Pelodiscus sinensis: one gene and its partners. The protein of the gene in region 1 purifies or fractionates together with the protein of each later gene. This does not show direct contact. Links are inferred from orthologs where the notes say so. Each region holds a gene or a part of one and is shown on either strand. Other genes may lie near its edges. The genes, in order: OTUB1, SLC7A11, UBE2E3 and FOXM1.

Region 1 (6,846 bases):
CCTAACCTAAGAGGGGGCTAAGTTGGGCTTGGTGCTGGCTGAACTGATGCCCTGATGGTGTAATTATTCCTTTTGTCTCTAGCACTGCAGGCCAGTGTGTGGAAGAGACTATCCAAGTGGTCATGCCCTGCCCCGGATTCATCTTCTCTCGCTGCAGAGTGAACAAGTTGTGGCCCTGGCCTGTATCCCTTGCTCCCTCTGTCCTTGCTGATCTTTCCTTCCCAAATGCTTATCAGAAGAGATCCCATCCTGTCTGCATTCAGAAGTTTCCAGAGCTGTTCTTAGCCTCCCAGTTGCATACAAGCTGTAACCTCTGAAACAGCTGTGGAGCTAAATGTATCTATTTGGTTCAGAGCTACAGCCTTCCAAAACTGTCAGTGTTGCTCCCTTCTAGCTTTTATATCTCTGTACCTGAAATCTTTGCAAAACCATGTTTTATGTGACCTGTACTGAATTCTTAATAAAAGTCTTTAATAAAGGTCCAACATGGTGGTGGAAATTGTGTTGAGGAACTGGAGAAGCTGTGGTGTATTATCTTCTGAAAGGGGGGGGCCAAGAGGTGACTTGATCAGTCTAAGGCTGTCTACACTGCAAGGTTTTTGCACAAAAACCTGTGGAGCGTCCACACCTCAAATAAGCTTTTGCACAAGTAAATCAACAGTAAAACAGCAGAAGAGGGCTTTTTCTGGCGTAGGTAAACCTCATTCTATGAGGCATAATTCCTTTTTGCACTACAGCTATTGCGCAAAAAGGCAAGGGTGGATGCAAGAAGCCCCTATGGGGAAAAAGCACAGGTGCTCTGATGGCCATTCAGAGTTTTCTTGCACAAGAGCGTCCATGCAATGTGGATGCTCTCTTGCGCAAAAGCACATCGCTTTTGTGATGTGCTTTGAGGTGTGGACGTGCTCTTGCACCAGACATTTTTGCACAAAAAGCTTCTTGCGCAAGAAGCATGTAGTGTAGACTTAGCCGAAGTGAGTGTCTCCATGGGAAGAGATGTTGAGCTGACTAAAACTTCCTTTTAACCTCATTTGGAACAAAAAAAATGGAATTTTTGTTTAGGAAATAGTTAAATTATATTGTTGAAGAGCTTCCCTTTGTCTTATGGTTTATCCGTTGTTGCTTGGGTACTTAACTCTAAGTGTTCTCTTCCCCCCACCCCCCCTTCAGTTAATCATTGCTCTGGAGTGGAGGTAGAAATGAGGGGTTCAGTATGCCCTGGGAAGAGAGGATAACACAGCCTTCTCACAGCAGCAACTTGGGGCCAGGTGGAAAATGCTTGTTGATGGCAGCTGAAGCAGGCACAAGTGGGGGAGGGGTGCATGTCTTCCCCCCCTCCCATAGGGGACTGCTATAGTGTTTGTCTATCAATAGTTGTCCCTTTTTCCACCTCTGCCCCCTGCTGACATAATGGGGTTATAGATGTCCCAGTCTCCCTCTCTGGCTCCTTGCTGCCTCCTTGTAGTCATTCTGTAGTACAGTATAGTTCCCTCCCACCAGACCCCCCCCCCCTGTTTCTCATAAAATGGAAAAGATCTAATTCAATGCACATCCCGCTATCATGGCACAACCAAATCATGACCTTGCTTTCAGTTAAGAGAAAGCTACATATAAACTACAACCGAATTTTCTACCATTTAGGAGGAGTTCTTGGATGGATGGACAGATGCACATTTCTAAAATATATAGTATGATCTTATGCAGTAGAAACTTAGTTACACAAACAGTGGGAATGGAAATTGTTCATAACTATGAATGTTAAGATGGTTCTTTTAAAAGTTTACAACTGAACATTGACTTAATAGAGCCTTGAAACTTTACTATGCAGAAGATAAATGCTATGTTTAACTATCTTAATTTACATAAAATAGGCACAAGTTTCCTTACTTTAAAAAAAATCAATTAATGCACCATAGATACTAAAGATGCATCAAGGCATTTATTCAACTTTTCCACCCTTAAAGCCTGGTGATCTAGCCAGACCATTTGCAAGTTGTCTACCATTAGTGTCAATCTCCTTATACCCCCAGTCTGTGTGATGGCTGTAGAAATCTCTGATATAGACAGCTGGATGTGGCAGACTTGATAGAATCTGTTGGTTCCTGTTGACACTTGGCTGCTTGTAAATATTTGCCAGCCAGAAATTGCAGCCTGGATGGTGTCAAAGAATTAGTGGACATCAGCTAAATGGCATCTGCAGTGTCAGACTGAATGGCTGTGTCTAGACTGGCCAGTTTTTCCAGAAAATCAGATGCTTTTCCGGAAAAACTTGCCAGCTGTCTACACTGGCCGCTTGAATTTCCGCAAAAGCACTGACTTCCTACTGTAAGAAATCAGTGCTTTTTGCGGAAATACCATGCTGCTCCCATTTGGGCAAAAGTCCCTTTTGCGCAAAAGGGCCAGTGTAGACAGCTGAGATTTGTTTTGTGCAAAAAAGCCCCAATCGTGAAAATGGCGATCGAGGCTTTTTTGCGCAAAAGCGTGTCTAGATTGGCCATGGACGCTTTTCCACAAAAAGTGCTTTTGTGGAAAAGCGTCCGTGCCAATCTAGATGCTCTTTTCTGAAAATGCTTTTAACGGAAAACTTTTCCATTAAAAGCATTTCCGGAAAATCATGTCAGTCTAGATGTAGCCAATGTGTGTGGTTCAGCCATATTTCGGGTGGAGTCATGTGGCACAACAGGTTGCAGGCATCAAAACTGTAACACCCAGCTTTGGCCGTTGCTATTGTGTCTCTTGCAAGCAAATTATGTCAATAGTACATCAATGAGCAATAATGCTGAGTAAATCATATTTGGCAACTGATAAACCCTCCACTTTGAGTTGTAACATGCATAGAGCTGGTCCAATGACATAGAAATCACCCGGCTGAACATTGGGGTTGTTGGTGATTATAGTGCCGGTGTTCTTTGAGTGAGCGTTTATGGAATTTGGCTTACTGCTTGGACCATTAGCTTCCCTGACAATTGGCAGGTATTGGTGGGTGGCATGATGAGAATGCTGATCCATTGCCCTAGCGAGGCTGAAGGTGTATCATTCAGTGCTGGAATGATGGGCTGATGGAAGAAAGATACAATGTCATAATGAAGCAGGAGCCGAGGCTGGGTGAACCCATGATCTCATAACATGCAATAACCTCACAGTGAGATGTGACAGTCAGGTCAAGAGAGCCTGTTGTGATGTTGCATAATGATGTGATGGTGGGTTGACAATAGACTGCCATGATATCACATGATGACATCCTAGCAAAGTGCTATGCTAATGGTGGTAAATGCAAAGTGGTGTGGTGCCACATGAGGTTATAGCAACACAGCCTGTGGAAGGTGTATTAGGCTATTGCAATGTTGAATGATGATGTTATAAGAATGCAGTTATGGTGTTTTGTTGCAAGGTTGCTTTAATGGCATGAAGGTATGTTGTCATAAGGTCCTTTATGATGTCATGTGATTATATGACAAGGGCACAAGAATGGGGGTGATGCAAAGCTATTGTGATGTCACTGGAGGGTGTCCTTGGAATGTGACATGCTGATAGGGTGGATATGAAGCTGCTGTGGTGACACTGGAGGGTTCATAGCGACAGGCGATGGTGGATTGATGTGAGGCCCCTGAGGTTATGTGATGACATCACAATGGCACATCAATGATAGGTTGCATGAGGTCGCTATGGTGTCATAGCAACAGAAGAGAGGCTTGAGTGGGATGCTATGATGTAACACAATGACATCACCACACATGCCTACGTTGCATGGGGTGTCATACTGTTCCCATGGCTCGCCCACCCCTCCTTCCATCCCCACCAGTGGCCTAGCCTGGGCTTGTGCTGCTACGTGGGGGAAGGGTTTAGTGGCAGTTGCTGGGAGGAAGCGCTTCCGTCGTAGACCCGATGTGCCCCGGAAGCGCTTGCTGGGTGCGGGCTGCAGCTCCAAGATGGCGGCGGAGGACCCTCTGCAGAAGCCGGAGCCGCTGGGGGGGGACACGGATGGTAATGGGGGGAGGGGCGGCCGGGGAGCCCCCCAAAACGCACTGAGGGGAGAGGGGCGGCCCCGACCCCGGCAATACCCCCGACCCCAGCCCGAGGGAAGGCTCTGCCGCCCCCCGCGGGCCGGGACAAGGGCCCCCGGCCGAGAGCGGCCTTGCCCTGGAACAGAGGGCGGGGCAGGACGGCGCGGGGACCCCCTCGGAGAGAACCCCCCGCCCGATCCGCCGCCTCCTGACAGGCTCTGTCCCTCCCCAGGCCTGGCTTCCCCTCCCCCGGGTCAGGACCCCTCCCCCCTCAACCTCCACAGACAAGGTTCGCCCCGAATCCAGCGCCCAGCCCCCTACACGAAACTCCTTCCCTGGTTCTGCCTTCCTGCTGCTGCTAGCATCTCCATAGGAAACTCCTGCCCCAGGTCACCCCTTCCCAGAACTGGCTCCCCCGGGTTTTAGAGAGAAGATTTCTTCCCTTGACTCACTCACCTACCCTCCGCTCCCTCTTTTCTGTAGGACCCACATCCCCCCCCAGCCTTTCCCCAAGGGTCAAGACCCCCCCCTCACCCCCGCCTCTTCGCAAGGAGCTGCTCCCCTCTCTCCAAAGTCCAGAGAAAAGATTTCTTCCCAAATCCCAGACATGCTTCTCCACCATAGGAGACAGTTGCCTTGCCTTCTCTTTAGGAACTGCACCCTCCTCCTCCCACCGTTTCCAGCTTTCATCAAAGGCAATTCCTCCCCTTGCCTTCACACACACAAAGGATCTGCCTCCTCCCAATCCCTCCAGGAAAGTCCTCTCCTCACCCCAAATCTCAGGCAACCCCCCAGCACACAAGATCTTTCTCCTTTTCTGGAAGCTGCTCTCTGACCCCATGCACAATCAGCAAATTCCGCCTCCCCATACCTGATTTCCCCCCCTCCCATAATCCCCATGGAAAAGGTTACCCCAACTTCCTTCTTTTTCCAAGTATACAGGGATTCCTTCACACCCCAAAGGCAGGATTCTCCAGGAAGTGCTCTAAGGCCTACTGCTCCTCCTCCTGCACTGTGCATCAACCAGTTCTGCCCTGCTCCTGCAATGGTAGCAGTCAACCCACTCTACCCTCTTGAGGCAGGATCCAGCCCCATCTGTGCCTTGAGGCCTAGAGTTGTGGTTGCCCATATGATACAGGATTCCCCAATCTCTTTATAACCCATGCCATAGGCTGCCCTGTGCCATTGCATTCGAAGATGTGCCCCCCTCCAAACCTGGCAATGAGAATTCCCACCCACTCTGCTCATTCACTGGCTGTAGGCATCCCACCCACTGCAGCTCCTCTCAGGGACTGGATCGCTCTCTCTACCACCATTTCTATCGGGGATAAGATTCCACCATCTGTGCCTTGAGATCTAGAGTCTTGGCCCCTGCATTCCAACCTTCCTGCAGTTCATGTCAGCCCACTCCACCTCCCATTGGCAGGGATCATGCCCAGCCCAGCCCTGACTTCCATGGGAAGCAGGATCCTGGCCTGGCCCCCGAAGACATTCCCTCTATTGCATGTCTCTTATTACCATGTGATGAGGCTTAGGAAACTTGGTGTGGGTGGGTGAGGAAAAGAACCTTCAAACCAAATCATGTGTGGCAAGGGAGTCCTAAATCTCCCATTGGTGTGCCTGCCTCTTAACACAGCTCCTAGTACTGTCCAGTTACTTCCCTACCTCCCTGAAGCTCAGCACTCCACATTCCCCCACTCCCATCAAGCATCCCAGATGGTTTGGCTTAAAACCTTGCTTGGGTTATCCTTACCTGAGAGCAATAAATAATGTATTATTTGTTTAAAGGTGGGGGGGGGGGGGGGGACTGTTAGAAAAAGTTGCTCTGAATAACAAGGGGCATTTGGGATGCCTTGGGGGAAAAAACCAGACTTACCCTTTCCCCTCTTAATTGCAGTCTCTTCCCCTAGAATGTTATCAGTAGACACAGTTTAAATTCTTTGTTACAACATAAAAACTATTTTGGTTGAGCTGTCCCCAGTAGAGTCTGCTTGGTTCACATCAGTAGGAAAAGTTCTGGAATTTCTTCCAGGTGGTTCTGTTGATTAAAAAAGGGCCGTGGTCTGCCTGGATCTGCTCTGGGGAAGACTCTTGTAGAAAGTCTCAGTGGGATAGCTGTGTTAGTCTGTAACTTTAAAAACAACAAGTAGTACTGTGGCATCTTAGAGACTAAGGGTGCAGGACTTAACTCAAAATAAGCTATGCAAATTGAGCTACTTCAATTGCATAGCTTATTTTGAAATTGAGAGTTTCTACACAGCACTTATTTCTGAATAGAGCCCTCTTCCTCTGACTTCCCTTACTCCTCGTACAATGCGGGTTACAGGAGTCGGGAGTAAGAAGCCCTCCAGCTTGACTGTATTTCAACATTATTTTGAAATAACTGCCTGCTGTGTAGACGCAGACGAAGTTATTTTGAAATAGTGTTGCTGGGTAGACATACTCTAACACATTTATTAGGGTAAAATCCGCTTCATCAGATGAGTTGGAGTGGAAATTTCAGAATCTGGGGTATATATAACAGCAAAAGATGTTACCTGTCAATTGAAGGACCAATGTTAATGAATGAAGTCAGGATGGATGTGTCTCATTCACAGCATTTGATGTGGAGAGGCAAATATCAAAAGCAGGGAAGTTGCCTTTGTGGGATGTTAGCCAGTTAAGATCTTTATTCAAGCCTACGTTGACAGTGTTGAATTTGTAAATGAACTCCCAAGTTCAGCTGTCTCCCTCTGCAATCAGGTAATACAATTCTTTTCTAGAAGGATGGCAACTTTTAAATCCTTTATTGAATGTCCAGGGGAGGTAAAATAATCCCCTACAGGTTTATGTTTGTTACTAT
Region 2 (6,839 bases), on another chromosome or scaffold:
TGTGAATCCCATCACAGCTTGAAATGTAGATGTACCCCAATTCCAGTGACTAGGAAATACCATTGATTCAGTCTCTGCTGAGATTACAAGGGCCTAGACACTGTTTACTAGTGCTGAGGCATGTAGATGGAGCAATGTCAGGAAACGTGTAGTCAGGACTTCATGCTATTGGATGGTAAATGTGTTGTTTACAAAGCCTAGCAACCCACCCCCAAAATCAGGTTGTTCACTGCTTGCATGTTACTGCATTTCTTCCTCGCTCTGGGAAGCTTCTATATTTCCTTAAAAGAACAGCTGACTTCACATTTCCCTAGTAAGAGGAATCCTTCATTCTTCGATGTATTTATACAGGTTGAAATAAAAAGAAAACCAGTGTTTTGTTATTATTTTAGGAGGTCTGCTCCCTCAAAAAAAGTGATTTGGTCCACTGTGAAGGGACTGTAAGAGAAATCTACAACACCATGACAACCCCCAGAAAGCTCCCAGAGGCTGCCACATGCACAATATGCATTCTCAGCCTTTATGGAGCAAACAACAACTTGCACTAAATATCCTTAGCCATGTGCCATCCCTCCATTCTTTATATCTGTTGGCATGTTTAATAGGCCTTCACACATTTGAAAAGCCAACAGATTCTCAGTTCCATGTATGGACAGCATCAGTCAATGAGAGATTTATCAGCATTAACAAATACAGTCAACCTGTCCATTAGTGTGCACACAGTATTTAAGAAGCCTTTGGGAACCAATGGTAAAGTGATATGGTACATAGTATTATGAGTAGTAGTACATATGGAGTTATCAATTATGTGTTTCCTAATTAATTAATGTGAAAAAGAACAATATATATAGTACCTTAAATGTCCAGTGTGATGTGGTGACATGCATACATCTGATATAGCTATTGCAATGCAAAAAAAAATGCCACATTATATACAATTTCAGAGATGGATTTGTAATTTAAAGAGCTTCTGCTCTGTTCTTTTTCTAACAGCAGTGCATTCAAGCATATGTTTTAATGACAACTACTAGGCATATCTCATTTGGTAAACTTTTTTTCAGATTATTTAGGGTACCTGATAATCTATTTACAGTCACATTTAAGAAACCAATTGACAGATTTTTCTTTTCTTGCCAAGCACATCTGGACAGATGCAATACACAATCGCTTTGAGGTAACTACTGTATTGTTGCCATACATGTTTCACAGACACCTTTACTGATTAAACAGGTGATCTTTCCATAAGATTTTACCACAATATATAGTGTAGGAGAAGTCTCCATAATTTACTACATTTTAATGTCTAGCTCATAAAATGCATAACTAAATTAAATTATATAGTGCTATGTTGAGGCAAGTTCTATATTTAAATTTAATCTAAAGGCCAACGTCTCATAACTAGATTCCAAGTTATGTATCAGCTTTCACTTCAATTTTGGAAGAGGGTTTCAGTCTAAGGTGGAAACTCCAAAGTTCTACCATTTTTGGTGCATTGGCATAAAAAAAATAGTTCAGTTTCTGTTCAAAATTGATCTTTTATTCATCTATGTTTAGGGCCTTAATGTTCCTTCTTAACAGATGATGCCTCTTAAGTCCACAGAGAGTTTACACAGGATCACATTTACAGGGCTTAAGCCCTGTTTTACTCAGTAATTGCCATCAAGACCACCTGCCAGGAAACAAGGAGTCTGCCAGAAAAAATGGCAGTAATCAAAACCCCTCAGTATGTGTTAACTGCAAAGGTCCATAACTTTTTGTGACATGTTTTTCCATAGAGATATCGTGAGTTGGCGAATAAAGTGAAAAAAGAATAACTAAGTTCTTTCTCACTTACTCACTTGCTTGCTAATAAAAAATTTATCCAGCAGGAATTATTCAATTCAGAGCTTACTCTAGTCAGTGGGGTACTGGATCAAGCTATCTATACATTTCACAGGTGTTCAGACTGACTGGCCCACATCCCCAACTGCCAGCACCTTGCAAGAATGTTGTAAACTGGCCGTTACGGCTGGAACAAAAAGTCATAAATAAAACAAAGGATTGTTCCTTCTCCCGTTACTGAAAGAAACATTATTTCATCTTATAATAGTTATAAAAAGGTACAACAGGGTATTGTCTCACATTGCTTGTAAAGATATAAGACTGAATGCGCAGTTCTATATGCCATTTACAGACACTATTAAGTAACAAACCATATCTGTAGCCTTATTGGTCCTCATATATCAGATTGGTCTGTGATATTCAATAGCAGGGGGAAAAATTCACCAGCTGCCCCCCAGGATCAATTATAAACTTTCACCAACTTACCAAACATGGAAAGGACACCACACACTGTCCAGACAATCAAGGACATTCCCACACTGCCTGTGTTCTTTAGTATCCCTTTGGGAGAGATGAAGATTCCTGCTCCAATGATAGTGCCAATTATAATGGAAACCCCTCTTAAAAAAGTTACTTTCTTCTTCAGCACCACTTTTTCTTCCTGGGATGGCTTTTTACTGTCCAGAGAGGGCAACCTGCCAATAGATTGCCCCTGCAAATAGCTTCCATTAGAGACTGTGGAGAGAGCAGGTTTCCTGAACATGCTATAATGCCACCAACACAATTAAAAACAAAATAAAAAAGTTTCTAGCTAGCACCCAAGGTTTCTTCCTGGATCTTTGTGCTCTCTTTCTAATTGCTTTCACTCTTTCTCCTTTTTGTTACTTTTCAAGCTGCTGCTGCACCCAGGTATAACACTCTGAAGGTGTATTTTAAAATTCCCTGCTGTATAAATACTACTTAGTAACACCTGTCCTTTCACGTTGTTAGCTGGTGCTGCTCTCTCATTGGAAACCAGCTCAGCTTCCGCATGGACTTGTATTTAAGCTCCTGTCATACTAAGTTAGTCCTGCTGAATGATGATGCAAATTCTCCAGGTTTGCATCAGCCACAAGAAAAGGCTCTGGCATTACTCAGCATTTTCAGATGGTAACAGCATGTTGCACAACTGATTTGAGCTTCTTAGGAAGAACAAAGCTCTCACTTGAAAGGAAGCTTAACGAATCAGAAGGTAGTATATTACTGTCAACACCTCCCCCCCCCCCAGATATATTTAAAGCAACTTGTAGTTTGACACAAAAGCCTGTTTTTAAAACACAAAGATCTTTAGCCAGAAGGAAAAGAAAATCAAACAGAATGCGTCACATTTGGTTCTATTCCAATTTTTTTCCGACTCCTTTTAAGCTAACAAAGGTTTTGTGAGTTTCAACTTTTATTTCTGAGTTCTTTAGTTTTCCCCAAATCTATCCATTACATGTAAATTTACATCAAGACTACATACCTTTACATAAAGATTACATATAAGCCATTTGCTATCTTGTGTTGCCTAGCAACAGCCAAATCAGACTAGTAAAAATCCACTGTACAGTAATTCTCACATGTAACAGAGTTTCTGGGATGTTTGTAAGAAACTCAAAAATGAAAATACTCCTTCAAGCCAGGTAAGCCCTCTTGTTAACAATCACAGCAAATTCTTTCAAGATATGAGAGCAAGAGGTCTGCATTTCAGAGCACTGATTTGTCATGTAATAATGTCTCAAAGCAGAAACGTTATCTGATTTTCATGTCACCATAGTGTCTTCCTGAGTGGATTAACTAATCTGTGCTTAGATGAATTACTTGATTGCTAACTCAGCTACATCGCTTTTTTATATTTTGATTTAAAATCAAGTAACAATTTAAAAAAATCAGCTTCCACTAAAAAATCAGTAGTTCTTGAGCACTTACAACCTCATCTTGGGACAGCCGGTACAGTATATGCCACAGGAAAAAAAAATCCTATGTAGCAAAACTATCACAGCTGCTCATGGCTTTGGGGTCAATCAGCATAATGAGAAGTAGTTATTGCCTTGCATGTTCCTTTTGCAGTTATTGCTTCATTAGCTCTGAATAAGAGGAAAAAGATACTAGCTAAACGTTTTGTCATTTCAGAAGGCGGCACTGAGCTCTAAGCACAACTTCTGTGCTTTTAAGTGTATCTCAGACACAGTAAATATTAGAGCATCATAGCAGTGATGTTTATGGTGCTGCAGTAAAAGCTGAGTCAATGTTTTTAAAACCTCATATTTTCAGGGGTTATGACTTGCCTATAATAATTTGCAGAGTGATAAAACTAGGCATAAAAAGCCTGGCTGTTTTTAACATACAGAGAAACAAACAAAAATAGTTTTTTAGCATTGGATATATATTTGTAATGCTATAATATTTTTAAAGGGCTTATTCCTTCCTTCACACCCCTCCATCATGTATTCAACAGCAACTCATTTTATTTCTCTTCTGTTTTATACTTCTCATCAGCACATCACTGGGTAAGAGAATATTGCTTTCTATTAATGCATGAGGTAGAGGAATTCCTACAGAATAATTCATTATGGTCCCTCTACTAGCCATACATGCAACTCTACCAGCAATTGAAGCAAGTGACTTGAACTACAAGCCAAGCCAGATCAAAGAACTAGCCACTAACCTGTGCTGGCTTGAATACTTAAATTTAAAGGGGCTGTATACTGAACAATCACAAGGAGAGCTGGTCAGGAAATATTTAACAAAATGATTTTCAGCCAGAGCATATCATTTTACCAAAACTGAAACTTTCCTAGGGAATGTGTCAGTTTCAATGACACTTTTGTGAAGAATTGGTTTCCCAAGTCCAAAGTGGAATGTCTGGTCTAAATGAGAGAGAGAAAAAGCAGCCTAGAATAGCTAAGAGTCTGATGACTGGGAAAGTCACCTAAGATGTGGAAGACCTAGGCTACATCTACTCTGCAGCTCTTTCCGGGTATACTGGAGGTATTCCAGAAAAGCTATGCCGCGTCTAAGCAACGTATCAGCTTTTAAAAAAAAAAAATCGGAAAAGCCAACACGTTCTTTCACCATCCCTATAAACCTCATTGTATGAGAAAGAAGGGATGTGCTGAAAGAGGAGGTTTTTCCAAAATCTGGCACGTGTAGATGCGCTAAATTTCAGAAAAGCCTCTTCCAAAAGAAAAACAAACCCCTGCCAAAGAAGCATTACACTGAAAATGTATTGAACAAAAATCAACTATAAATGTTGCATGTATTTGGCATGTCATTTCATGCAGTGTACGAAAGGGTGCTAAATTCTGGGCTTTTATAGTAACAACAACCTCGTGTAGGTACACATACTTCAGACTGGCCAATCAGACTGATTGGTTTAGATTTATTTTTAATTAAGCGTTCTGGTGCTTTTCTATTTTTCTTTTCCAAATCCTTCACTTTTGAAGACTTTCCAGTAACAGCATTTATAACTTTTATTAGATTCTGAGTTTCCCAAATGCTTATATCAGCATTTTGGGGTTATTAGAGCCAGAGAGATTTAGAGTAATTTATGGGATGAAAGTCAGCAAGTATGGCACACAGCCAGCCCCAGAGTAGAGGAGTATTTGAAGGAGTCTTAAAATCATGTTTCCATGCCTTCCCTGTCCAGTATATTCCTTAGCTGCAGCTGAGACTCTCCGACACTCTGTTCTTATATGTCCATACCTCACCTGCTACATTTTGAGGGCTCTTGTAATATAAACAATAACTAACAACAGCACCTCAGTGAGGACACAGAAGGTGAAGTTTGATTTTGAGTCTCTAAATTGGTCCAAGAAACAACCTGAGGGAATCAGGACAAGGCAGTGTTTCTTTGTCAATTTCGTTCACATACTTCCCAAATTGTAGAGTCCAAATTTCATTTTATATTTTTTTTTACACAATAACAAGATAGAGATGTCTCTTACTGCCCTGACTCTTGCCAGTTACATGATCTATAATTGAAGGAAGTACTTTTATATCATACTTCTGTCTCACTATCTGTACCGGCCTAGTGCATGTCCTAGGGAGGTCATATCTACTGGCATCCTGCAGGGGTCAATGCTGGGTTTGGTACTGTTCAATATCTTCATTAATTACCTTAATAATGGAATGGAGAATATGCTTATAAAATTTGCAGATGATACCAAATTGTACTTTGTAGGGCAGGATTAGAATTCAAAATGGCCTAGACAAATTGGAGAATCAGTCTGGGAGCAAGATGAAGTTCAGTAAAACAAGTGTAAATACTACAAGTGTAAAATACTTCCCTTTAGGAAGGAAAAAACAAATGCTCAACTGCAAATGTGGAATAATTGATAATACTACAAAAAAGGATCAGGGGATATAGTGGTTTACAAAATGGGTATGAACCAACAATGTGATGTAATTTAAAAAAAGACTAATATTATTCTGAGGTGCATTAACAGGAGTGTCAGAAGAAAGATATGGAAGGTAACCATCCTGTTCTACTCAGCACTAGTGAGACCTTTGGGCAGTACTATGTTCCGTTCTGGGAACTGCATGAGAAGAAAGATGTGGTCAAATTGGACAGAATCAAAATGATAAAAGGTTAAAAAACCTAACCTATGAAGAAAGATTTAAAAAATTGGGTAAGTTCAGCCTCATAAGCATTTCAACTCATACATAATACACATCTTTAAGAATATCTAAAAATCCTGAAATGTGAATCAAGTACTACTGTTGGACACCAATTTTTCTGGAAGTCTGGGTACTGCAAACTTCTTTTTCTAAATGTCCATGCCATGTACTCATACTGGGGCCACTATATGCCTATAAATAGTTCATGGTTCACCACCCCTCTGACGCCTCCTGCTGGACATTCTGGGAATTAGCTCCATCATTCTTTGGGATGGCCCCAGTTGGTGGTGCTTCACCACTGTCTCCCCCCACTGTCTTCACTGCCTCCACTATCTTGGCCCATGGCATTACTGAACCACAGAGTCCCCCCTGAGTACATC
Region 3 (6,846 bases), on another chromosome or scaffold:
ATAATATAACACTTTAGCTTCTTTTCTGAGGGATGCCCACACTACAAATGGTACCATTGCAGCGTGGCAAGTATACACTCTTACCACAGTGACAAAATAAGGGTATCTGTCAGTGCAGTAAATCGATCTCCTCAAGAAGAGGTAGCTAAGGAGATGGAGAAGTTCTCCTGCTGACCTAACAAAGTCACATGGTGCAGAAATTTTCACAGTCTGGCACCTGAGCAATGGAGCTAGGTTGACCCATTTCACTGATAGAGCAGGACTAATTTAAAGTATCTAACTTAGATACTATTATTTTGGAGCTCTATTTCTTTACAAGTACAAAATCAGTGGAAAATAGGTAGTATTTACTGTATGGCTAATGCTTTAACATTCAGGGAACTGGAATACCAACTCCTCTCTCAGGTCTTTATAAAAGTTTGAGCCATGCTGAATAAGCAAAACACATAGTTGTGCAGTAGAGAACTGACTCTAAAGTTAAAATATGTTTTTCCACTGTTACTTTTCAGATCTATTTGCTATTGGCTATAATGTAATATGTATTCCTAAAAAAAAAATGAATGTAAGGTTTAGCAAATTGTTTCATCTCAGAAGACCCTTGCATATGAAAGGATTAAAAGTCTGCCTGTTTCACATGGCTGAAGTTAAAAAAACGCTTCCGTGTATACCTACTGAAAGCCAGTCTAACATACATTGTAAATACAGACATTTTATCAAATAGACTACAAGAGGTTTGTGAAGCTTTTGACACTTAAATATAGAGGGGATATATTCATCTCCAGAGTGATTTTCCAGGCCCTAGTGAAGCAAATGTCCCACTGAAGTTGGTTATTTTTGCAGAATAACATGTTATATTAGGATGCATAAAGGATGTACTGTATGTTGGCATGCAAACAAAGTTATAAGTACAAACCCATCTATTTCTGTGCCAATAACATTTTTATAAATATTTTTATATTCAATAAAACTGATTGTGTGAACAGTACACACAATCTATCGAAATATACCCTAAGGATGGTACTCTACCAAGAAAGAAAAGGCTAATCTTTTGAACGCAGGTGGAAACGATGTTTCTAATTCTTATATTACTTGCAAGGATAAAATTCATATTGGTGAATAAAAGCTTTTAGAAGCCAGTATTTTCATTTTACAAGTTATAATGTTCTTAAGCATCTCTCCCAAAGAAATGTGAGAAGCTTATTTAAAGGTTAGCTTACTGACAGTATCATTATTGAAGCTATTGAATGAAAATCTCATAACTCAAAAAAGTTTGTAATTCAGTAAATGACTCCCTAACACAGCTTTCATCTGCATTAAAAATATAGTGCAAATATGTCTCTCAGTCACTCTTATAGTTATTACCTTTTAGCACTAGTAGATAACTTAGCAGTAGTTTTGCTGGATAGTTTGGTATTTTTCTTCTGCTGGGTTGCAGAAGGTTTCCTTTCTTCTTGTTCTTCAGGTTCTGGTGCTGGTGGGTCCCTTTGATCTGCATCTGAACTACCACTGCTGGTACTTGGACTTTCATCATCTGACCTTTGCCTATCACTGGACATCGTGGTGAACTTTGGGAAAGAGGGACAAAGGAAAAGGGGGTGGGAAGAATAGAAAAGCAGAGTTCACTTTAGGTTGCAGTTTGACAGTTACAAAGTAATATTTACACTTTTTAAATATAGAAAGCTCCAGTTTTTTAAAGCCCAGCTACATTTTTTCATACTTTAGACAATATATCAATTGTTTACTTTGTTCAAAGCCATGGGACAGGGGTTTTAGAAGGGTCCTGCAAGCAATGAACATTAATAACTTATGACACATTGTAAATAACAGACCTTGCTAAAAATGTTGTTTAAAAAGTCACTAATACCCTGCAAATATTTACACTGGAGCAGAGCATTTTATTAGGTCCGAGCAGCCAAATTACCCCCCTCTCTGAGACAATATATTGACAGTAACAACACTCCAACTGATTTCAGATTGAAATTTACACTCACTCTGTCGCTTTGTATTTAAAGGGCCGTGAGGAGGAGGTGTTTAAAAAACACTATACATTTAAAACAACCCAGAAAGCAGAAGCCTCGGTTATTTACATGACCAGCAGCAAGAATTGCATTTTGCTACCACAAAGCTGCTGGAGGGGGAAGAAGCATAATTAAAACTGCACCTTCTGCAAAGCTTTCAACGCCACCGATTCTTGATCAGTTTCTACAAAACACACCGACATTTTTAGGGGAAAAATATATAGACACACGCGGGAGGCACCCAAATTGGAGGAGGGGTGCTGAAAAAGAAAATGAAGCTCCTAGTAGGAAACTGCAGTAGGGTTGAAATGCAGCTTTGCACACACACTCGCCCCCGCCCCCCCTCCCCCCTGCTCGGGCTGGCTTTGTGGGGCGAGATCGAGCTCCCAGCGAGGAGGGTATGGAGGGGTTGTTATGGTAGGAGGCTCTCCAGGATCAGCATGGTATGTGTGCACCAAGTGAGGCGTGAACTCAGTCCCGGCTCCTCTCTCTCCCGGCCACCGACAGGCAGCAAGCGCTGAAAACAAGAACAAAGCTCCCTCTACCAACCTCCCCCCCCCCCCGCCTCCTCCTTCTCCTCCTCCCCCCACCAAGCTCGCCCAGGCTCCTGCTGCAGCCACCTAACCCGCTTCTCCTTTACCTTGCAGGCGTCCTGTCCCGGTGTTAGGTCGGAGGGGAGGGATGGAGGGGGGAAGGGAAGGGGATATGGTATCTGTGGAGGGGCTGGAGGAAGCCGGGGGGATATAAAGCAGCAGAGGAGGCTCTGTGGCCGGGCAGTGTGGAACATTGAGAGTCGGAGCAGGGGGGAGAGACGGGGGGAGGATGCAGTGCGGCTTGATGGCCTTAGGGTGGTGCTGGCGTGTCCCCTTTTTGCAAAGCGGGCTCCCACGGTGGGGCAGGGGGTAAGAGGAGAGAGAACGCGATCTTCCCCTCGGGGGAAGGGCGCCGGATGGAAGAGAAGAGCCGAGCGTTCTATCGCCTCCGCCCCCTTGTGTCGCTACGTTCGGATTCAGAATGTTGCAGTCAGCAAAGTTCCAAACGACATGAGGGCGGGGGGAGAGGGCGCTCGCTCCCTGACTGGTAACACCCCCCCGCCCCCCCGGCTGGGGCACGCGCACGCTCTCTCGCTCTTCTACCTTTGCAGGGTGCGTGCGTTCTCCCGTGCTGGCCAAGGACAAAGAGTTGGTCCCTGTGCACCCCCCAGGTTGGTCGCTTGGCCTTTGCTTGTGTCTTACTAGTGGCTGGTTTCTCTCCTGCCTCCCCCCTCCTCCCATACAAATACCTTTCTCGCAAGCTTGCAACTCTGGAGCAGTCACTACGGGAGGGGGAGCCTGAGATCCTGAAATTACTTCAGTGCCATGCACAAGTGTGCAAAAGCCTGCTGGGGCATAGCCAAAGCAAGGAAACTGATTTGAAAGTAGCTCTGCTTTTGCCCATTCTTTCTGTCTCTTCTTACTGCTGTCCATAAGGGTGGTCACTCAGGAGTAAATATACTTAATCTGGGCACTGGTCGTGGCTGAGTTGGGTTGTGAGTGCCTTAACATACAGCATAGCGATTATGAGTGAAAGTTGAATCCTGCCAGTTTTTGTCCCAGCACCAAATCCCACTCCTCAGTGGGTAACATGTTCAACCTTTCTTGCTGCACAAGCAAAATCTGGGCCCTCATTCATGTGCCCCAGCACAAGATCACCTCAAATATCCAGATCCTTCTGAACCTAGCCAATTTTTGGACCCCCAGGCCTGAAATTAAAAATGCATAAATAGAAAAGATGTTTAGCCACTCTTAAAATTCCAGATCTTGATGTCCGATAGAAACTGATCTGGCATGTAGATCAGTCTCAATTCTGACAAATAATGGCCACATACCCAGAATCTGTGCCATCAAAATAGACAAGAAGTGCTGCTACTATCTTACTATCACTAGTAATAATAATAATAATAAATAAATAATAACTAGGGGGCTGCTCCTTGTGTTTGCTTCACTTACCAAGCCCCTCTCAGTCCGCTTCCATGGCCCAAGAACGTGAGAGTGTGATAACATCATTCTGTCACCCGTCAGGAAAAACATTTTTAGAGAGATAGAAATGTAGCCGTTAGTCTGGTGTAGCTGAAACAAAAAACGGGACTATGTAGCACTTTAAAGACTAACAAGATGGTTTATTAGGTGATGAGCTTTCGTGGGCTAGACCCACTTCCTCAGATCAAATAGTGGAAGAAAATTGTCACAATCATATATACCAAAGGATACAATTTAAAAAAATAAAGACATATGAAAAGGACAAATCAAATTTCAGAACAGAACAGGGATGGGGAGGAGGGGGAAGGTGAATGTCTGTGAGCTAATGATATTAGAGGTGATAATTGGGGAAGCTATCTTTGTAATGGGTAAGATAATTAATGTCTTTGTTTAAACTTTAAACCAGGAGGCAACCAGACAACTCTCCAACACCACATTTTACAAACCTCTCTCCTCTGATCCCACCTCGGAATACCAAAAGAAACTACACTGTCTCCTTAAAAGCCTCCCTACAGCTACTCAGGAACAAATCCACACAGAAACACCTTCTGACCCCCGACCAGGATTGTTCTATTTGCTTCCCAAAATCCATAAAACCTGGATACTCCGGACATCCCATCATCTCAGGTATCGGCACACTCACTACTAGTTTATCCAGCTATGTAGACTCTCTTCTCAAACCCCACGCAACCAACACCCCCAGCTATCTCCGAGATACTACTGACTTCCTAAGGAAAATACAAAACATTGATAACCTCCCCAATAACACCATCCTTGCCACCATGGACGTAGAAGTTCTATACACCAACATCCCACATGAAGACAGATTACAAGCAATTAGAAATACTATCCCAGAGGACACCACTGCCAATCTGACAGCAGACCTATGTAACTCTGTTCTCACCCACAATTACTTCCATTTGGGAACAACTTATACCTCCAGATCAGCAGCACAGCCATGGGTACACGCATGGCCCCACAGTACGCTAATAACTTTGTGGCTGACTCAGAACAACATTTCCTCAACTCCCATCCCCTTTAACCCCTTCTCTACTTACGCTACATCGATGACATCTTTATGATCTGGACGCATGGCCAAGAAACACTGGAGACATTCCACAGAGATTTTAACAACCTACACTGCACCATCAATCTCAGCCTGGACCATTTTACAGAAGAGATCCATTTCCTGGACACCACAGTACAAATCACCAATGGAAAATTAGACACCACTTTCTACAGAAAACCCACCGACTCATACAGTTACTTACATGTCTCCAGCTCCCATCCAGAACACACCATACGATCCATTGTCTATAGCCAAGCCCTTCGATACAACCGCATCTGCTCTAATCCCACTGACAGAGACCAGAAACTTCAGGATCTCTACCAAGCATTTATAAACCTCAACTACCCACCTGGAAAAATAAAAAAGCAAATTGAAAGAGCGAGACGAATACCTAGAAACCATCTACTTCAAGACAGACCCAAGAAAACCAACAATAGAACACCACTTGTCATCACCTACAGCCCCCAACACATTATCAATGAGCTACAGCCTATACTGGAACAGGATACTAAACTCCAAGAGGCTCTGGGAGACAGACCCGTAGTCTCCTAGGGTATGTCTACACTACAACGTTAATTCAAACTAACAGCCGTAAGTTCAAATTAACTTTCATAAGCGCTACACAGGCAAATCGCTAGTTTGTACTTAATTCGAACTAGCGGAGTGCTTAATTCGAACTAGGTAAACCTCATTCTACGAGGACTAACACCTAGTTCGAATTTAGTTCAAATTAAGGGCTGTGTAGCCACTTAATTTGAACTAGTGGGAGGCTAGCCCTTCCGAGCTTGCCCTGGTGGCCACTCTGGGCACAACCAGGGAAACTTGTCTGCCACCCACCCGGCCCAGGAGCCCTTAAAAGGGCACGGTCTGGCTACGGTGCTCGTGCCAGTTGCAAGCCTGCCAGCACCCAGCCAGCAGCCCAGACCAAGAGGCGGGCGCCCGCCTGGTCTAGTGCAGAGATCGTGGACCTCATCCAGGTTTGGGGGGAGGCGTCCAACGTCCACGACCTCCGCATTAGGCACAGGAAAGTGGTTGTGTAGGGCAGGATAGCTGCCAGCCTGGCCACCCAGGAGCAGGTTTGCATGAAAATCATGGTCCAGTGAGACCCCCAACCCTGAGCCCTGAGCTTAGAACATAAGAACATAGGAATGGATGTACTGGGTCAGACCAAAGGTCCATCTAGTCCAGTAGCCTGTCTGCTGACAGCGACCAACACCAGCTACCCTGGAGGGGATGGACCGAAGACAATGACCAAGCCATTTGTCTTGTGCCATCCATCTCCAGCCTTCCACAAACAGAGGCCAGGGACACCATTTCTACCCCCCTGGCTAATAGCACTCCATGGACCCAACCTCCATGAATTTATCTAACTTCTCTTTAAACTCTGTTCTAGTTCTAGCCTTCACAGCCTCCTGCAGCAAGGAGTTCCACAGGTTGACTATTTTCTTTGAGAAGAAGAACTTTCTGTTATTAGTTTGAAGCCTGCTACCCATTCATTTCATTTGGTGTCCTCTAGTCCTTCTATTATGGGAACTAATGAAGAACATTTCTTTATGCACCCTCTCCACACCACTCATGATTTTATAGACCTCTATCCTATCCCCCCTCAGTCTCCTCTTTTCTAAGCTGAAAAGTCCCAGTCTCTTTAGCCTCTCTTCATATGGGACCTGTTCCAAACCCCTGATCATTTTAGTTGCCCTTTTCGGAACCCTTTCCAAGGCCAAAACATCTTTTCTGGGGT
Region 4 (6,984 bases), on another chromosome or scaffold:
TCTATTTTCTCTGAAATGCTTTTGTTCATAATAATAATTTTAAAATGCTACTTGATCACTGGATACCACTGACACTGATCCCCAGAAGGAGAAAAACTGCAAGTACTGAATGCAAGTCAGATCCAAGGTTACAGAGAGTGGCTATCCAGGGACCAGTCTAAGGGAAAATTCTTCCATCTCCATTCCATCTCAAGAGAGGTGATAGGCTGAGGTTTAAGACCTGAGTAGCAGTGTACCCAAAGAGACCAGGAGGAGCCCAGAATTGCAGTTAACCCTGTAATTGACACTAGTTATTAACAGACTATTTCTCAGGCATATCCTAATTAGGGATGTGAACGACTAGTTGACAAGTTGCCCCCCCTCCCTCAAGCCCTCTGCTGCCTCTATCAGAAAGAGGCAGCAAGGGGAGGGGAAAGAGGTGGGGGTGCTTCAAAGTGGCAGCACCATATGGAGCCCGGAACCAGACCCTGCGCTCCATGCAGCACTGCCACTTTGGAATGCCATGTGTAGACTGGGGCCAGCAGGAAACTCCCCCGCTGAGCCTGGGCTCCCTGTGGCGCTGACGCTTTGAAACGTCGCAGGAAGCACAGGCCCAACATGGGACTACTTGAGTCCCCTGCTGGCCCTGAGCTCCCCACAGCACTTTCACCTTTGAAGTGTAGCAAAGGCAGAGGTGCCCTAAGCAACTAATCGAATAGTCGATGCAATTTGCATTGACTATTTGATTAGCCAATTAATCTTCATTTAACATCTCTAATCCAAATAAGTCCTTGTCTACATTGGGAAATTTTCCATCGTTCCAGATGGAAATGGATTCTGTCTTCTCTCAGGAACTGTTTTACTCATGGAGTTTAAAATGCTCTATTAAAAATACAAAAATAAATTTAAAATCAAACAGAGAAATCTAGATCTCTGGGGCTGGTGGAGTGTTTCATATGAGTTTTAAAGGGGTAGCCATGTTAGGCTGTATCTGCAAAAACAAGGTGGTGTCCTGTGGCACCTTACCAACAGATTTATTTGGGCATAAGCTTTCATGGGTAAAAACCACTTTGTCAGCTGCAAATGAACAAGATGCCCAAATAAATCTGTTAGCATTTAAGGTACCACAGGACTCCTCATTAAAGTTTGAAATCTTTTAGGGCTGCTTTGTTATAAAGCTTTGAGACCTAAGTGTTGTTATTTAACAGAGCTGCCTGGTAATGGCTTCTGCAAAGACAGGTAGCTCCTACAGAACAATTACAAGATTTTTTAAGCAAATGTGCATATCATAATAAAGTATCCTAGGACTGAGTGAAAAGAAACTTAGCAGTCCTCTCAACAAGATTTGAGTCTATTGGAAGAGTTGTGTTAGGAAAAGCAGAAGATTTAACACACACAAAAATGAAAAGGAGGGCAGGGTTAAAGTACATAGAAAACTGCTTCAAAAATCTGCTGCCTGGATATCTTCGCCATAGTGTCTGCTTGTAGCCTGCATTATCACCCTGCTTTCCAGAAGAGATGATCTATTTGCTGGTTTACTTCAGGCCCAACATTTTCTTTTGATTGAAACCAAGTAATATTACATTAACAATATGTAACAGAAAAACAAATAGTTGAGATTTGTTATCAATGAAAACATGTTTCTTTAAAGAGCTCATTGGGGTGTTGACAACTCCCCCCCCCACCACACACACAAAAAGAGCACTGACCTAAATGAAGTGTAACAGTAAAACTGACCAGCATTGTCCAATCAGGAATGAAATGCAAGACATCAATAAAGTACATGAGCAGTGAAAAGTGAACACAATTTTAAATTTTTTTAGAAAATACAACTCTCTCAGTAGTACCATTTTTCTTGCTGTTGATTCTTGGTTTGTAGTCTATGTAGTTCTGCTAAAGCCTCTGAAAACAAACACATCCACTCCTTAGGCTTGATCTTCCAACAGACTCCCACTGACCTCAGGCATATACTTGTTTGTTTCCAAGCAATACACTGGCTTTTTGAAACTGCATTTCTCACCAACAAGCTTAACTAAGGGAAGACACCTGCTCCTTATCACACTGCATCTGTGGAAGTAGGCCTCATCATTTTACATCAAGTATTCCACCTTTTAACTATATACATTACAAGATATAACATCCATTTTAACCCACATTTAACTCCATTGGGGGGTGACCATAGATAGGCAAACTTACAAAATTGAGATTATTAATACATGAATATTAAATAAGAGAACCACAATTAAGATGCAGACTCTATTTCTGTATCATAGTTGAGCAGGAAGTTGTCACATTTAAGTGCTGGAGAGTTGAGAGTTATACCAAACAGTTTGAAATAATTGCTGTAGTTTAAATATCAAATCCAATAAAGAGTAACTAAACAGTAACTATTCTACTATCCATTTCCAAGGTTTTCAGTTATCATAAAAGCCAAAAAGAATCCCCATCTCATATGGATCCCAACCTTTTCATGCCACCATGCTAGTTCCCAAGACAGGGAACTCTGCCAGTGGCCACCATTTCCCATTTAGATGTGAGTGCGCTAATTTAAAATACATCTCAGGCTGCTTGTGACTGCTAGATTGGGATCTGAAGCAACTGTAACACTGTAACCAGGCGGGGGGGGGGGGGGGAGTGTGTGTGTAATCCATGTCCAAGATCCACTCCAAACAATTCTTTATTAAGATATGCATAAGAAGGCTGAGAACACTTACTATAAGAAACTAAGGAAAACAAACCTGCACCTACCCATGAGACGGAAGCATTTTGGTCAAGAGGTTTGGTAGAAACACGTCTTGGGTTCTCAGCCAAAGGCAATGGAGATCCATAGTGATGTGTAGGCCCCTCTATTGGAGTTTCAAGGAATCGCAGTTGTGTCTTGTGAGCCTGGTGGATGCATTTCTTCTTTGGAGGCATCAAAAAGGGTAAGAAAGTCGCTATGAAACCTCATGATGCCTGGTGGAGCCAGTTAGGGAGAAGAGGAAAGAGATGACAAACTGTACCCAAATCTGCAGAAAGCAACAGAGGGATGTCAAGTCGTCAAACCTAGCAACTGTTTTTTCCTACATAGAACACACTTCTGATCTGCCTCCAAAAAAGTCTAATAAAAAATGGAAATATACATTTTTATATACATCCACTCAGCCATACTCCCATTAGGGACACAATCAGAGCTTTCTTGGTGTTACACAAGATATAGTCTGTAGTGGGTGCCTCTCCCCATGGTCTTGGGTTTTTGGGGTGTCCTCCCTATTGAGTATATCCAGTCATGTCTTGCTCCTGGGAAGATCCTCACTAAACGACATCAGCAAGGTGGAACTGACATAATGCTGCTCCACCATCCCTAGCCGTGGCCCTTTCCGGTTACCTAGTCCACACAGCCGCACCAGCTGGAGGGTGCAGACAGGGGAGGAGGAGGTAACGACCCTGCTAAGTTTGGGGTCCGCTGCTCTACTTATCTACAGGCGTGTACACACACATACGCGGTGCTCTCGCTATGCCCTACCCCAGGCATCCAGTAACTCCTGGGCACTTTTCTCTCGCGCACAGCCCGGCAGCTGAACGCACACGCCGCCCGCCCGGCTGCTCCGGGGCTGGCTGTCTCTCGCACACGGCGGCTACTCCGCCATCACTGGCTGGCCGGTTGCTCCAAGCTGCAGCGGCGGGGCGGGCGGCAGGCCCAGGAGCACAGAGCAGGTGCGGCGGGGAGGGCAGCGGCAAAGGCGCTCAGGGGCCACCGTTTGAGAGCGGGGGCAGAGCCCCGAGACAAACGCCGCCGCCGCCGCCTCCTACGGCCGCGCCCCCGCCCCCGCGGACGCTGCTCCGCGCAGGGAGCCGGGTGGGGGGGTTGAACCGGCCTCGGGTCTGATCCCAGCTCCTGCCAGGGGTCAGGCGTGTGCGAGCACCGCCGGGCGCGGGCGCTCATTGGCCACTTCCGTTGCCGGATGGAACGCTCTGGCCCCAGGCCTCATCTCCATTGGTCCCGCCCTCGCACGTGATGCCAACGGGCCGCCAGGCGCCAAATTCAAACCGGGAAACGAAACGAACTGCCTCTGTGCCCTGAGAGCTGCGGAGCCCGGCGGTGCCGGGTCCCCGCGGGGAGGCAGCGGGGCGCGCGACCCCCTGCCCCCACCGACACCGGGGTGAGAGCGGGCTGGGAGGGGCCTTGCTGCGGGAGCGGGGCCGGGGCGGGGAGACTGATAGGGGCCACTAGGAAGGGAAAGGGGGTCGGTGGGCACCGGCGGGCCATGGGGGGCAGGGCGAAGGGGTGAAAACACGGGCTGGGGGCTCTAGGAGCCGGAGAGCCTGTGGGGAGATGGATGGGGGAAGGGGCTGGGGCCAGGGGAAAGAGCAGGTGAGAATTCCCAGCGTGTGTGTGACAGCGCAGAGCTACCACCCGCAGCCAGGATGCAGCGAGGCCTTTGTCAGTGGCTGCAGGGCGTCCCGTGAAGCCGCCTCCTTCCAGAGGCCAGGGTTGGATGTGTCACTTGCCTCTATCACTTAGGAAGGGGGCTAGTTTATTTTTCTGTCAGTTTTGTTTGTACCCTTTTATGACCGTACAAATGACTAGGGTACTGCACGGATACAAAATACGGATCCATAGCTGTAAAAATGAGCAGCAGATATCCACAACCATATCTGTGGAAGCGGATATCCGAGGATAGAAAGCAGATATCTGTGGATTTGCAGGGCCCTACAAATTATCGGTTCTGAGGATGTTTTGTTACTAACAGGCTGGATTGGCTCTAAAGATGTAATAGTGTAGTCTATTAACCGATAAGCAAAAGCTTGTCTGTTAATGCTACAGACTACACGCATCCTCCCCCCCCCCTCCCCCACTCCCCAACACTTGCCAATAAATTTTTTAGCAGGCTGGCCAGTAGCCTACGTCCTGCCTTGTGCCAGATCAAGGATCTACCCCTGCTGTGGCTCTACATTTAAAGTGTATTAAGAGCCAAGTGGGCAGCTAACCTGGCTCAGTTCTGGTTCACGCCAGGTCCAGGAACTCGGACCCCTCTCCTTCCGGACAGGAGCTGCTGCCACCCAACGCTGTGGGGTGACAGGCAGCCAGTTTGTGAGGGGAGCTGTTTTTTAAACTGGCTCCCCTCACGGGCCAGCTCCTGCCTGGTACCCTACGCTGCTGTCTCTTATACACAGGCAGCAGCACAGAGTGTCAGGAGGTTCTTCTGGAGTAGGGCTGGAGCGCACTGGTTGCCAGCCCCACCCCTAGGGACTATAGAATAGTCAAGTAACCAATAAGAATTCATGAGGTTAATCGACTATTCAATTAACTGATATTTAATACCCCTAATCCGCTCCAATGATGTGAAATCCTCTCCATTTTGGTTAATTCTTAGTCTCCCATACGTTATCTGTATAATGCAAGCACTGTAGATCCACTGAAGATTTCTTGTGCAAGAGCAAAGTACCACTTGCCACAACTCCCATAAATGCAACAATTATCCTATCTCCACATCCCTATTTCTGGTTTTGTCATTGATTCCCCTAGTTCTAAACTTTAAAATTGTTTACCATCCATAAAGTCCAGATTAAGAAATTTATTCTGACATTAGATGATGGTGAATTGAGTTACACAGTGCTAAGAAAGGAAGTGCTTGGCTTCTAACAAATCTATTTCAAGCTCTGAGTTTATGGTGTTTCTATAAAACAAATATGATAACACTAACCTCACGGGTGTGATCTGAGATATTCAGTTATCATGCAATTAGTGCTCCTCATCTGTATGGAGTTTTCACAAGATGTGTATCAATAAATAAGGAGGAACCTTTCCCTTCAATGGATGTGGCATGCAATTCTTCCCTATGGGCATAGGGATTGTCCTCTAGTCACAAGACAGATGGTGAGGAATCTTCCTCTTTTAGGATTACCACTGTACCCCTCATACATCAGCTGATTTGGTACCTTGCATAGAGATAATTCATTCCATTCCTGTACGTTCCATGCTTACAGCTCCTCTTTCATGTTCTTATATTTTGCAGGGTCTGTTCTTGCAGTCTTCAATGGCGAGTGACTGTACAGATCAATCATGAGGACCAGCCCTCGCAGGCCTCTGATTCTCAAGAGACGAAAACTGTCCCTCCCAAATCGCAATTCATCCAACACCCCAGCGAGAGATGAACCAGATGGGCAAAGTAAAGGAGCCCCCAAGCATGAGCAGGTCAGAGAGGACAAATCCAGGGACAGAGTGGAGGGTAGCACCCAGAAATTCCCAGCAGGAATAAAGATCATTAATCACCCTACCATGACAAACACCCAGGTGGTAGTCATCCCTCCCGATGCTGACATTCAGAGTATCATCGAGGCTCTGACAGCCAAAGGGAAAGAATGTGGCAGCAATGGGCCCAACAAGTTCATTCTCATCAGCAGTGGGGGCAACTCACTCCCCACAGGCTCACCAGCAACTCAGCAGAAGCTCCAATCAAATGATGAGACAAGCACAGCAACAAAGGGAGCCACAGCAGCAGATTGTCAGGATGGAGAGAAGAACATTGGACAAAACCCTGGGATTATGGAAAGGCCGGTACTGTGGCATCCACAAGTCAATTCCATGGAAGGACAAGAACAGGAAGGAAACAGTACGTAGGCTGTACCCTTCTGTTGAACTCTTCAGCACAATGTGGAGTGGGTAGAGATGGGGGATTGATGCTCTGCTTGATATAGGAGAGCGCAGTGGTGAAAATGTGAAATTTCAAGCAACCCAGGTGATTAATATATTAGGTTTATATGTACGCTGATAGGTGTTCAAATCCTGAGTCCAAGTAAAAGTCAGTGATTTTAGGGCCTGGGGTTTTTCTGAGAGTTGGTAAGGTATGTTACAGGTCAGGATTTTGGTATACAGAAAGTCCCCAGCTTATGAAAGGGTTGTGTTTGAAAAGTTTGTAAGTTGGTTATTTGAAACTCAGAGTGCATTTTCCCACAGAAACAATATTCTGAATGGTGGTTAGGTGCCCAGGCTAGCCCACAAAAGCCTATGTGACCCATAAT

Evidence for each region.
Region 2: the proteins of OTUB1 (region 1) and SLC7A11 purify together in Homo sapiens (affinity purification with western blotting; 5 studies listed by BioGRID, with this or other methods). This does not show direct contact. The link is inferred for Pelodiscus sinensis from reciprocal best matches to the Homo sapiens genes OTUB1 and SLC7A11.
Region 3: the proteins of OTUB1 (region 1) and UBE2E3 purify together in Homo sapiens (affinity purification with mass spectrometry; 3 studies listed by BioGRID and IntAct, counting the BioPlex papers as one, with this or other methods). This does not show direct contact. The link is inferred for Pelodiscus sinensis from reciprocal best matches to the Homo sapiens genes OTUB1 and UBE2E3.
Region 4: the proteins of OTUB1 (region 1) and FOXM1 purify together in Homo sapiens (affinity purification with western blotting; 4 studies listed by BioGRID, with this or other methods). This does not show direct contact. The link is inferred for Pelodiscus sinensis from reciprocal best matches to the Homo sapiens genes OTUB1 and FOXM1.

What each region holds. Positions count from the first base shown.
Region 1 is NC_134721.1:33,697,394-33,704,239, reverse strand, and holds the start of OTUB1 (ubiquitin thioesterase OTUB1), read left to right. Parts: upstream 1-3,840; 5' UTR 3,841-3,929; coding exon 3,930-3,984; intron 3,985-6,846. UniProt on the Homo sapiens protein: Hydrolase that can specifically remove 'Lys-48'-linked conjugated ubiquitin from proteins and plays an important regulatory role at the level of protein turnover by preventing degradation.
Region 2 is NC_134715.1:44,988,741-44,995,579, reverse strand, and holds the start of SLC7A11 (cystine/glutamate transporter), read right to left. Parts: upstream 3,008-6,839; 5' UTR 2,585-3,007; coding exon 2,308-2,584; intron 1-2,307. UniProt on the Homo sapiens protein: Heterodimer with SLC3A2, that functions as an antiporter by mediating the exchange of extracellular anionic L-cystine and intracellular L-glutamate across the cellular plasma membrane.
Region 3 is NC_134717.1:48,106,380-48,113,225, reverse strand, and holds the start of UBE2E3 (ubiquitin-conjugating enzyme E2 E3), read right to left. Parts: upstream 3,001-6,846; 5' UTR 2,806-3,000; coding exon 2,659-2,805; intron 2,533-2,658; exon of another isoform or gene 2,222-2,532; coding exon of another isoform or gene 2,162-2,221; intron 2,137-2,161; exon of another isoform or gene 1,992-2,136; intron 1,566-1,991; coding exon 1,363-1,565; intron 1-1,362. UniProt on the Homo sapiens protein: Accepts ubiquitin from the E1 complex and catalyzes its covalent attachment to other proteins. In vitro catalyzes 'Lys-11'- and 'Lys-48'-, as well as 'Lys-63'-linked polyubiquitination.
Region 4 is NC_134711.1:125,752,447-125,759,430, reverse strand, and holds the start of FOXM1 (forkhead box protein M1), read left to right. Parts: upstream 1-3,964; 5' UTR 3,965-4,121; intron 4,122-5,978; 5' UTR 5,979-6,025; coding exon 6,026-6,575; intron 6,576-6,984. Other genes in the region: RHNO1 (RAD9, HUS1, RAD1-interacting nuclear orphan protein 1), read right to left, coding at 2,728-2,895. UniProt on the Homo sapiens protein: Transcription factor regulating the expression of cell cycle genes essential for DNA replication and mitosis. Plays a role in the control of cell proliferation. Also plays a role in DNA break repair, participating in the DNA damage checkpoint response.